Linked DNA regions of Danio rerio. The protein of the gene in region 1 interacts with the protein of each later gene in a pairwise test. Links are inferred from orthologs where the notes say so. Each region holds a gene or a part of one and is shown in the gene's direction. Other genes may lie near its edges.

What was found.
Region 2: the proteins of top1a (region 1) and btbd2b interact in a two-hybrid assay, tested with the Homo sapiens proteins (2 studies listed by BioGRID). The link is inferred for Danio rerio from reciprocal best matches to the Homo sapiens genes TOP1 and BTBD2.

The regions. Positions count from the first base shown.
Region 1 is NC_133186.1:27,367,154-27,371,406, forward strand, and holds the start of top1a (DNA topoisomerase I, like), read left to right. Parts: upstream 1-1,446; 5' UTR 1,447-1,566; coding exon 1,567-1,599; intron 1,600-1,992; coding exon 1,993-2,017; intron 2,018-4,253. UniProt on the Homo sapiens protein: Releases the supercoiling and torsional tension of DNA introduced during the DNA replication and transcription by transiently cleaving and rejoining one strand of the DNA duplex.
Region 2 is NC_133177.1:60,990,531-60,994,916, reverse strand, and holds the start of btbd2b (BTB/POZ domain-containing protein 2), read left to right. Parts: upstream 1-1,374; 5' UTR 1,375-1,398; coding exon 1,399-1,922; intron 1,923-2,299; coding exon of another isoform or gene 2,300-2,390; exon of another isoform or gene 2,391-2,587; intron 2,588-3,747; coding exon 3,748-3,867; intron 3,868-3,942; coding exon 3,943-4,099; intron 4,100-4,386. Other genes in the region: protein unc-13 homolog A, read right to left, coding at 2,300-2,390.

The DNA.
Region 1 (4,253 bases):
AGATAGGCCTAGTGCAGGTTCAAGATAAACGTGGCAATTGGGAAGCAATGAAGTGAGCATACAGGCAAGATACCATTAGGGATTCAGTGGCATAGTCGTTAAAAGAAACACTTCAATCAGTCATCTGTTTAAATGAAAATACACACATTGTCCCACCTGGTAAAATGATTACTGTTAGTTACAGGTTTGACAATTAAAGCTGTTAAAGCCATAAGTCAGAGATGCCCAAAGTAGGGCCCACGGGCCAAAGTTGGCCCATGGTAACCTTTGATTTGGCTCGCCATACCATCTGAATAGAGAGGGAGAATGATGGGGAGGTGGTGGGGCGGATGCTTTGGACAGAGATCGTCATTTTGAATTGAACGTAGTCTTTTGTTTCTTTGTTTTATTGCTGAGCTAAAAACCCCACCTGAAATTAAATGATAGGATTAAATGTTGTAAATGTTCACTTTTAAAATGTGAAAACTGTCTCTTGACACAGATAGAGGACAACGCACAAGTCTTCTACGAGCAAATCAAGGTGAGGGCAGGTGCAGCTTCACTGTATTCTCCTTTGAACTCCATTTAGTCATAAATAAGATTGTTTATGTTGTTACTCTATTAGTTCAGTATAAAATGTTACAATTTATACTGCGTTAGTTAATATGACTTAAAGCAACATTTTTAGGAATAAAACAAACAGTTCACCTCAGCCAAAAGTTAAAATGGGCTTTTAATTTACTCTCAGGTCTTTCATAGTGTCTTTTTTAGTTGAACTTTAAGGATGATTTAGCACAAAAGGTGGTCTTTGGTCATGCAAGGTCTTTTAGTATAAAAGAAACAAATAAATAACAAAAACCATGTAATTAAAATATATAAACAAATATTTATTTTCAATACTATTTATTGTATTATTTTAATTAGTCATTATTATATTATGCAATTAATATTTTATACCCACAATATTTAATATTTAAAAAGTGTCTTATATTACAAAAGCAGAAGGATTTCATATTATAGCCTACATTCGCATTGGAGTCCCTAGCACAAGAATGATCATATATGAGGGTCTTTTAAAGACTGAAAATCTTTGTCTTTGATTACTTATTGTTCTCATCAGTAAATGGTTTTAAACAAGTGTCTGTCAAAAGATTGACTGGAATTTTTTGTGATAGTACACTTTCACATGTGGATATTATTATATCAAATGTTAAACATATTGTTACTGTATTACCATTATTACTTAGACTACTTTTATTTCGGTTGTTGTTATAATAATGATTATTTATTGTAATAATCGTTGTTATAACTGTTTCAAATCTCTCTTTACTGGCACCACGTGGCTCCATAGTAAGTCTGGAGTGACGTCACAGAGGGGAGCCGTGCGCGAACACAGTGTGGGCGGAGTCAAGGCCAGGAAAAACGCCTTTTTATCCTTTTAAACGCGTCTGACATGCGCAGTGGTTTGAAATTCGGGCTTGGTCTGTTACACAACTGTGTCTTTCTTCATTCTGCCCACAGCTCCTCGCCGGCATTTTATATTAACAGGCTTTTAACTGTGTTATTTTAAAAACAAGACCCATAAAAATGAGTGGGGACCATTCCCACAACGATTCCCAGGTAAAGTGTTTGTGCTTTGTGGTTGTCAGTTATCTTTTTTCTTTCTTGATGCTTTGTAGTCACTAGCTCGGCTGTTTAAATTCCATCCGCAGCGGCAGTTTTCCACCAGCATGCTAAGCTAACAGACAGTGGAAGTCGGCTTTGATTGTGTTAATGGAGTATTTTCTATCACTCGCGGCTTTACTTTTAATAATGTCCCCTATCAAAGACTTCATTTTGGGAATACAAACTTTGTATGCTCTTCTGTCCCTCGCAGCGGTGGTATTTAAACGTTGTTGTATGAACAGGCTTGTTAGCTTGAGCGCTAACCGCCGACTAGCATCAAGTTGAAAGTTAGCAGCCTATTGACATGGCACGATTTAACATTAACTGTACACCACTGTTTTTCCGCAGATCGACTCGGGATCCAGACATAATGGTGAGTGGGATTCGTCTAATCGCCACGTTGTGATTAAAATACAATTTCATACGTTTTAAACCTCTAACGCTTGCTTGACGACCAGTTAGTTTTAAGGACAGAAATGGCGTCCCAGAGACTAAGTCCCCTCTCGCTCACTGACAAGCGCCTATTGTTCACATTGAGCCCTTTTAAAACGCTTTTACAATGCTTCAAAACCAACAAAAAATGTCTCTTTCGAAAGAGAAAGAGATTATTTGTCAGTTGGCGTCGTTTGAGCGTTTTTGGAAGATGGACAATAAGCAAACGAGGCTTGTGAAAGTGAGGTTTTGGGGGTTGAGGACTTAGTCTCTGCGCCATTTTCTTTTTCTCTGTCTAGCGGTCTGAGTGTAGTGAACGTTAAGTGCACATCGACGTGATTATGGAGGCGAAGGATTGAGAAACGTGGGTGACCTGTTCTGAATCCTCTCACCAAAATAAACATGTCGACCTCAAATACATCTTAAATCGATAAAATGTGATGAAATAAAACAAATGTTCACAAATCAAATCAGTAAGTAATTATTCAGGAATTGGCTATGATGCACGTTTTTTTTGTCTTGATGTGTGCTGTAATTAAATATGCGTAAAAAAAATTAAAAATTGCATCCAGATTTAGTAAACTTAAACGAACCGCTAATGAGGGATTTCATTGGTCCTAAACCTGATTTCACAGTGTCATTGGTCAGATCAGTTGGGTCATGCAGGTTCAAAACATGGTCATTCAGAGACATAAATTGTCAATTTACACAATTATAAATTGTTTGTTTTTACATAAAACTTATAATAAAACATTTTCTATATAGTTTTAACTTGCCATGGCATTAACTAAAGTACTTTAACACCTGACACATTTCTTTTGTCCATGCACCAAATGTCTGTTAACGTTTTAGGTCCATAACTTTACTATAACAAGTTCTTGTAAACCCGAGGTGGCAATGAAACAATAAAATGAAAAATACTTGACCTTTTTTTATACATTTTCAGTTTAAAAGATTTTAATACTTGTATATTATTTAATGCATTATGATCAGTTTAGTTGTTTTTATGTTAATGAGAAGAAATTTAAGAATGTAGTGCTTGCATTTGATCACATGATCTAACTGCATTATCTGTTAACCGTAAAGGAGTATTGATTGTGTATTGATAACATCTAGGCCTACCCAATATTGAAAAAACCTGATATTGTGATATTTTATGGTTCTGCAATTAAATATTGGTTTGAAGAGCTCTATTTGCTGGTTTTCTGGGGAGTCTAACAGTATTCACGTACAGAAATTGAATTATCACAATGCAAAAAAATGCTTTTCTTCCTTTGGTTCGTCTCATTTCTAGTCCAAATAGCAAAACCTTTTCAGTTCAAGTAAAAATATAGTTTTATTTTAAAATTTTAATTTATTAAAAAAAAAGTTTTTAAAGCTAAATTCTCTCAGTGGATAAAATCTTAACAAACAAGTAAAATCTTGTTTTTGTGTTGAAATTTATGTGTAAAAAAAAAAAAGTAAGAATTCTGTATAAATACAGTAATTAAATACAATTCTGTAGCCACTCGGTTAACTATAATCCAGACTCAACATTGCATGTCTTGAGATGTGAATATTGAGTATTAGCACATTGTGATATTGGTGCTGAAACGATATATTGCGCAGCCCTAGTAACATTTTAGTTCTCTGTGACACAAGAACTGATAATCAAGTGTGTAATCTATAAATTCATTTCCTTTTTTTTTAGGCCATTAGTAACATTTTGGTCACTGTCTATTATATATTGTTAGTAGTAGTTTTTTTATATATACTCAAATCGATATTAAAAACAATAATGGAAGTTCAAATATATTTTTCTTCCTTCGCTCCTTTTTTACCAAGCAAAATCACAGCTGAACTTGACAGCCAGCCATTATGCTGTTTTGTTGCACTTTGATAATTAATTTTTTGGCCAACTGGGAAATATGAGAGTTGGCAAATTATTTCTGCTTCAGTGTTTTAAAAGTGCCACAGAGTTTCCAAAATAAAAATAAAACCTACAATAATTATGCATGTAATCTCATGAAATATTTTTATTTCAAATCTTATTTTACCCTTTTCTCCGCTCCCTTCATCCCCATTTCTTACTCTGAGCATGATGCTTCTGGTGAATATTCTGCTTTCCTCCAGAGCGTTTATGAGCATTTAACCATTGCTGTGCTAATACATGAACTGCCTGTTCACACCATGCCACT
Region 2 (4,386 bases), on another chromosome or scaffold:
CCAGTATTTGAAAGCATTACCCTTATTTCTTTTTAATTAATGAACTAAATAGGTCCCAGTGTGTGTGTATGTATATATATATATATATATATATATATATATATATATGTATATATATATATATATATATATATATATATATATATATATACATACATACATACATACATACACAGTATATACACAGTACTGGGAAACACCCATACTCATTCACACATACACTTATAAGTGTATGTGTGTGAATGAGTGAGTATACTGTTTCCCAGTACTGGGTTGCAGTTGGAAGGGCATCTGCTGTGTAAAACATATGCTGGATAAGTTGGCGATTCATTCCACTGTGGTGACTCCTGATGAATAAGGAGACTAAGCCGAAGCAAAATTAATTAATTAATTTGAATTATATGAACAATGGTATATTAATGGCGAGAAGGTCGCTGGTTTGAGCCTCGGCTGGGTCAGTTGGCGTTTCTGTGTGGAGTTTTACTGGAAGCTCGTGAAATGTAGGAGCAGCACTTTGTGTGGATATATCTGGGCAGTTTCCTTCTCTAACTGCATTTGCAAAGGCTCAAAGTGATTATACGGACTCCAGCTTCACGCCTTGGCTTTTTTTCACGCAGAAACGCCGCATCTGCGGCAGCTGTGAAGGTGTGACGTCATTGGCGCGCTCCTCCTGACGTCCGCTCGGGGGCGTCGTCGCGTTCACGAGCATTCATCATCTGTATATCTTTTTATTCTGTCACTTTCATGAATACACGGACACACAATACGGACAGTGAGCAAGGTAAACAGTGGATATAAGACAACAGACCATTTATTCATGTTATCCATCATCCTTTAGCATAGCCTTCAGTTGTTTCGTGGTACAACGAAGATGTGCTTTTATGAGGGAGACACAAAGGATTTCTGGATTACTCCATCTCCTACATTATAATGACTGTGCTCTGAACACTCTGCAGGACAATTACAAACCTCGCCGAGTTATGGAAATTGTTTATCAGTTTTATTTTTCATAATGAGACAGTTTGTGGTGTTTTAACACCACAGGCGTTTATGTACAAAACCATCAGATAAAATGTACTGCTGAAATAATAATAACAGTGTGTGCTATTCTGAATATAACTAATGTAGCGCATATGTGCATGTTTTCCTTAATTTATAGATAATTTCATTAACATTACATTATACCTCTGTTGTGTTTAGATGTAAAAAAACTTATTTAAATTATAAATAAAAACTAAACAATATATATATATAATATAAATACAAAATTCAATTAGTTATTACTATTTTATTAATAATAAATCTGACATAAAACTCCACACATGTGCCCTTCGGACCGGATGTTGACAGTGCGCGCGATTTGTTTACTCATTCAGCGGGTGCGCGCCTCGGTCCAAGATGGCTACAGGAGACAATAGCGGTCGGGTTCCGTGTTTAAATTTCTCGGTGCCCGGACCTTTGGGTAACAGTCAACCGAGCAACAGCCCTTTCGCATTGGCGGCGAGTCACGGAGGATCGGTCGGGGGCGGTGGAGGCTCTCAGGGGGTAACGAGACGCTCAAATCCTCAACCGGGGCCTCAGGCCCTTGAAAGCCCCGGTGTCGCGTCGGGACTTCCGCCGAACTTGATGAACGCTGTCCCGGCTGCCGCGGCGGTGGTGGGCCCGCTGGCTCCGGCCGCCTCGAACATGACAGGGAGCCCGTCTAACGCAGCGATGACACCGGCGGCCGCCACACACTCAGCCCTGTCCGCTCCACCAGCCGCTGCCGCCGTGCTTGTGTACCGGGAGCCTGTTTATAACTGGCAGGCGACGAAAAGCACCGTGAAAGAGAGATTTGCGTTTCTGTTCAATAATGAAGTACTGAGTGACGTTCACTTTCTAGTGGGTAAAGGAATGGGAGTCCAGCGGATACCTGCGCACAGGTGACTCTTTTAATACACTCATTGCTAAAGGGCTAAAGTTGGTTTTATTTTCGCACCTTCAGACTTTCCGCTTACTAACGCTAATATCATTTCAGAAATGTGTTGTTTGCGAATTCTAAATAGTGAAACATATTAGCAGACTATCAACGTACAGCATTGTTCACAGTCAATTAAATAGTGCTAATGCTGTTCTTAAGTCACACTTGCATACGATTTCAGTCCTAATATTCAAAGTAGGGGTGTAAACAATCTAAGTTAGGGGACCATGGCAAAGTTGTCGCTGTTCAAAAATGAATGAATGTGCGATTATTAAACCAACTTTAACGTTACCTCAATCTCTTTGTGGCAGAAAGTTAAATTAAATCTTATGTACTCACCTTCGTATCCTCCCGAACTGCATACTGGCTGTTTATCCGTGAAACACAAAAGGAAATGTTTCGCGGGATGTTCATGCGCACTTTCCAGCATAATAACAAATTTGGATGGGACTGTTGCTGTCGAGTTTTATAAACGGCATTATCTATCATAACACTGTCTCCTACAATATTTTACTAAGTCATTTTATGGCTTTTTTTGACCAAAGGATTAAGATTGACAACTTCTTTTGCTAAAAAAAATTCAGCTGGCAATCAAACATAACACGCACGCGCCTGGTCACGTGACACAGGAGAGCCAATAACATTGGTATTTTATAAAAACAAAGTGTGTGGTGTTCAGTTATTTATTTATTTACTACCTACGTTTTTGTGTAATTACTAAACTAGAAATCAAGTTAAGATATTAATTTGAAAGGCAAAAGTATACAAATACTGTTATAGTGTAAATATTATAGAGAGTTTTGTAATGAAATTTATTAAATGTTTTGTTTGTTACAGTTGAATTTATTATGGTAATTATAATTATTTGTCATATAATTACTAAAACAAATGTCTCATTTTATGCACGTCTTAAACGTTAAAACTTTAATGTAAATAATTAAAATTACTCTATAAATTCATCCCATTGTTGTTGCTTTTTACTTTATTAGCTGACATGGTTATATTATTTTTTCATCTGATTTTATAATGAATTTTTATTAGTATATACTATTATGCATTTAAAAAATGTCCTGTTTTTTACTTCATTAGCTGACATGTTCTCGTTTTCTTTAGATTTTCTCTTTCTGGTTTTGTTATTATCATTAAATTACGTTTACATTTTTAACTTGCATTTATTAAAAAGATAACAATTCAATGCTTATTTGCAATAGGGTATATGCCGAGCCAGTGTTGTTCCTATACTGATAATCGTCCGGTGACCTGCTATTGTGAGTTTTTTCCATTTTACATGGTTCCTTTTACAGCATGGATGTTGTAATGTAATTAAAATACATTCAGTTAAACAGACTTTGGCATTCATTTAGTTGCTCAAGCGTAAAACTAGACAAAAAGCTGTTTACTCGCACACACCTGTCAGAATCCACAGGTTAGTGCAGAAGCTCCATTGAATATACTGAGGCAAAATAAATGCTCATAAAGACATGCATGGGGGAAATGTAATTTAATGCAGTGCTTCTTGCACAATCTGAGACCCACTTTATATCAGATATCACTCAGGCAGTGGAGATTTTTAAAGAAACCATATCTTAAACGCACTAATTTTGCAGTGGCATTCAGTTCACCGGAATCAGTTAACCCAGGTTACTGGCAAATTAAAAGTCCTATTAGCATGCTTCGGCATATACCCTATTAAAATAGTATTTATTGAATACAAATATTATAAATGCATTATTTCTTGTACTTAAAAAGTATTCTAAATATCTAAAATCTAATGTTCTCTGTTGCAGGTTTGTTCTGGCGGTTGGCAGTGCAGTATTTGATGCCATGTTCAATGGAGGCATGGCCACCACGTCCACAGAGATCGAGCTCCCGGATGTAGAACCTGCTGCATTCCTTTCATTGCTTAAGTATGACATCTTATTTCCTTTTCGGCACGCATGCGTTACACTTTCCAGAAATATGCAGATCTTGTTTCTCCTCAGATTCCTGTACTCTGATGAAGTTCATATCGGACCCGAGACAGTGATGACGACTCTCTACACGGCTAAAAAATACGCTGTTCCGGCTCTAGAGGCACACTGTGTGGAGTTTCTGAAGAAGAACCTACGAGCGGATAATGCGTTCATGCTGCTTACACAAGTATGTTTTGTTAAGCATGTATTTATTACCCTTCATTTTGTGCAAATGGGGTATATGCCTAGTGAGCTGGTGTGTTTCCCATACTGATAAACCTCCGGTGACCTGTTATTGTGAGTTTTTTTCCATTTTATATGGTTGCTTTTACAGCATTAATGTTGTAATGTAATTAAAACACATTCAGTTAAACAGACTTTGGCATTTATTTAGTTGCTCAAGCGTAAAACGAGACAAAAGCCGTTTACTCGCACACACCTGTCAGACTCAGCAGGCTAACGCAGAAGCTTCAT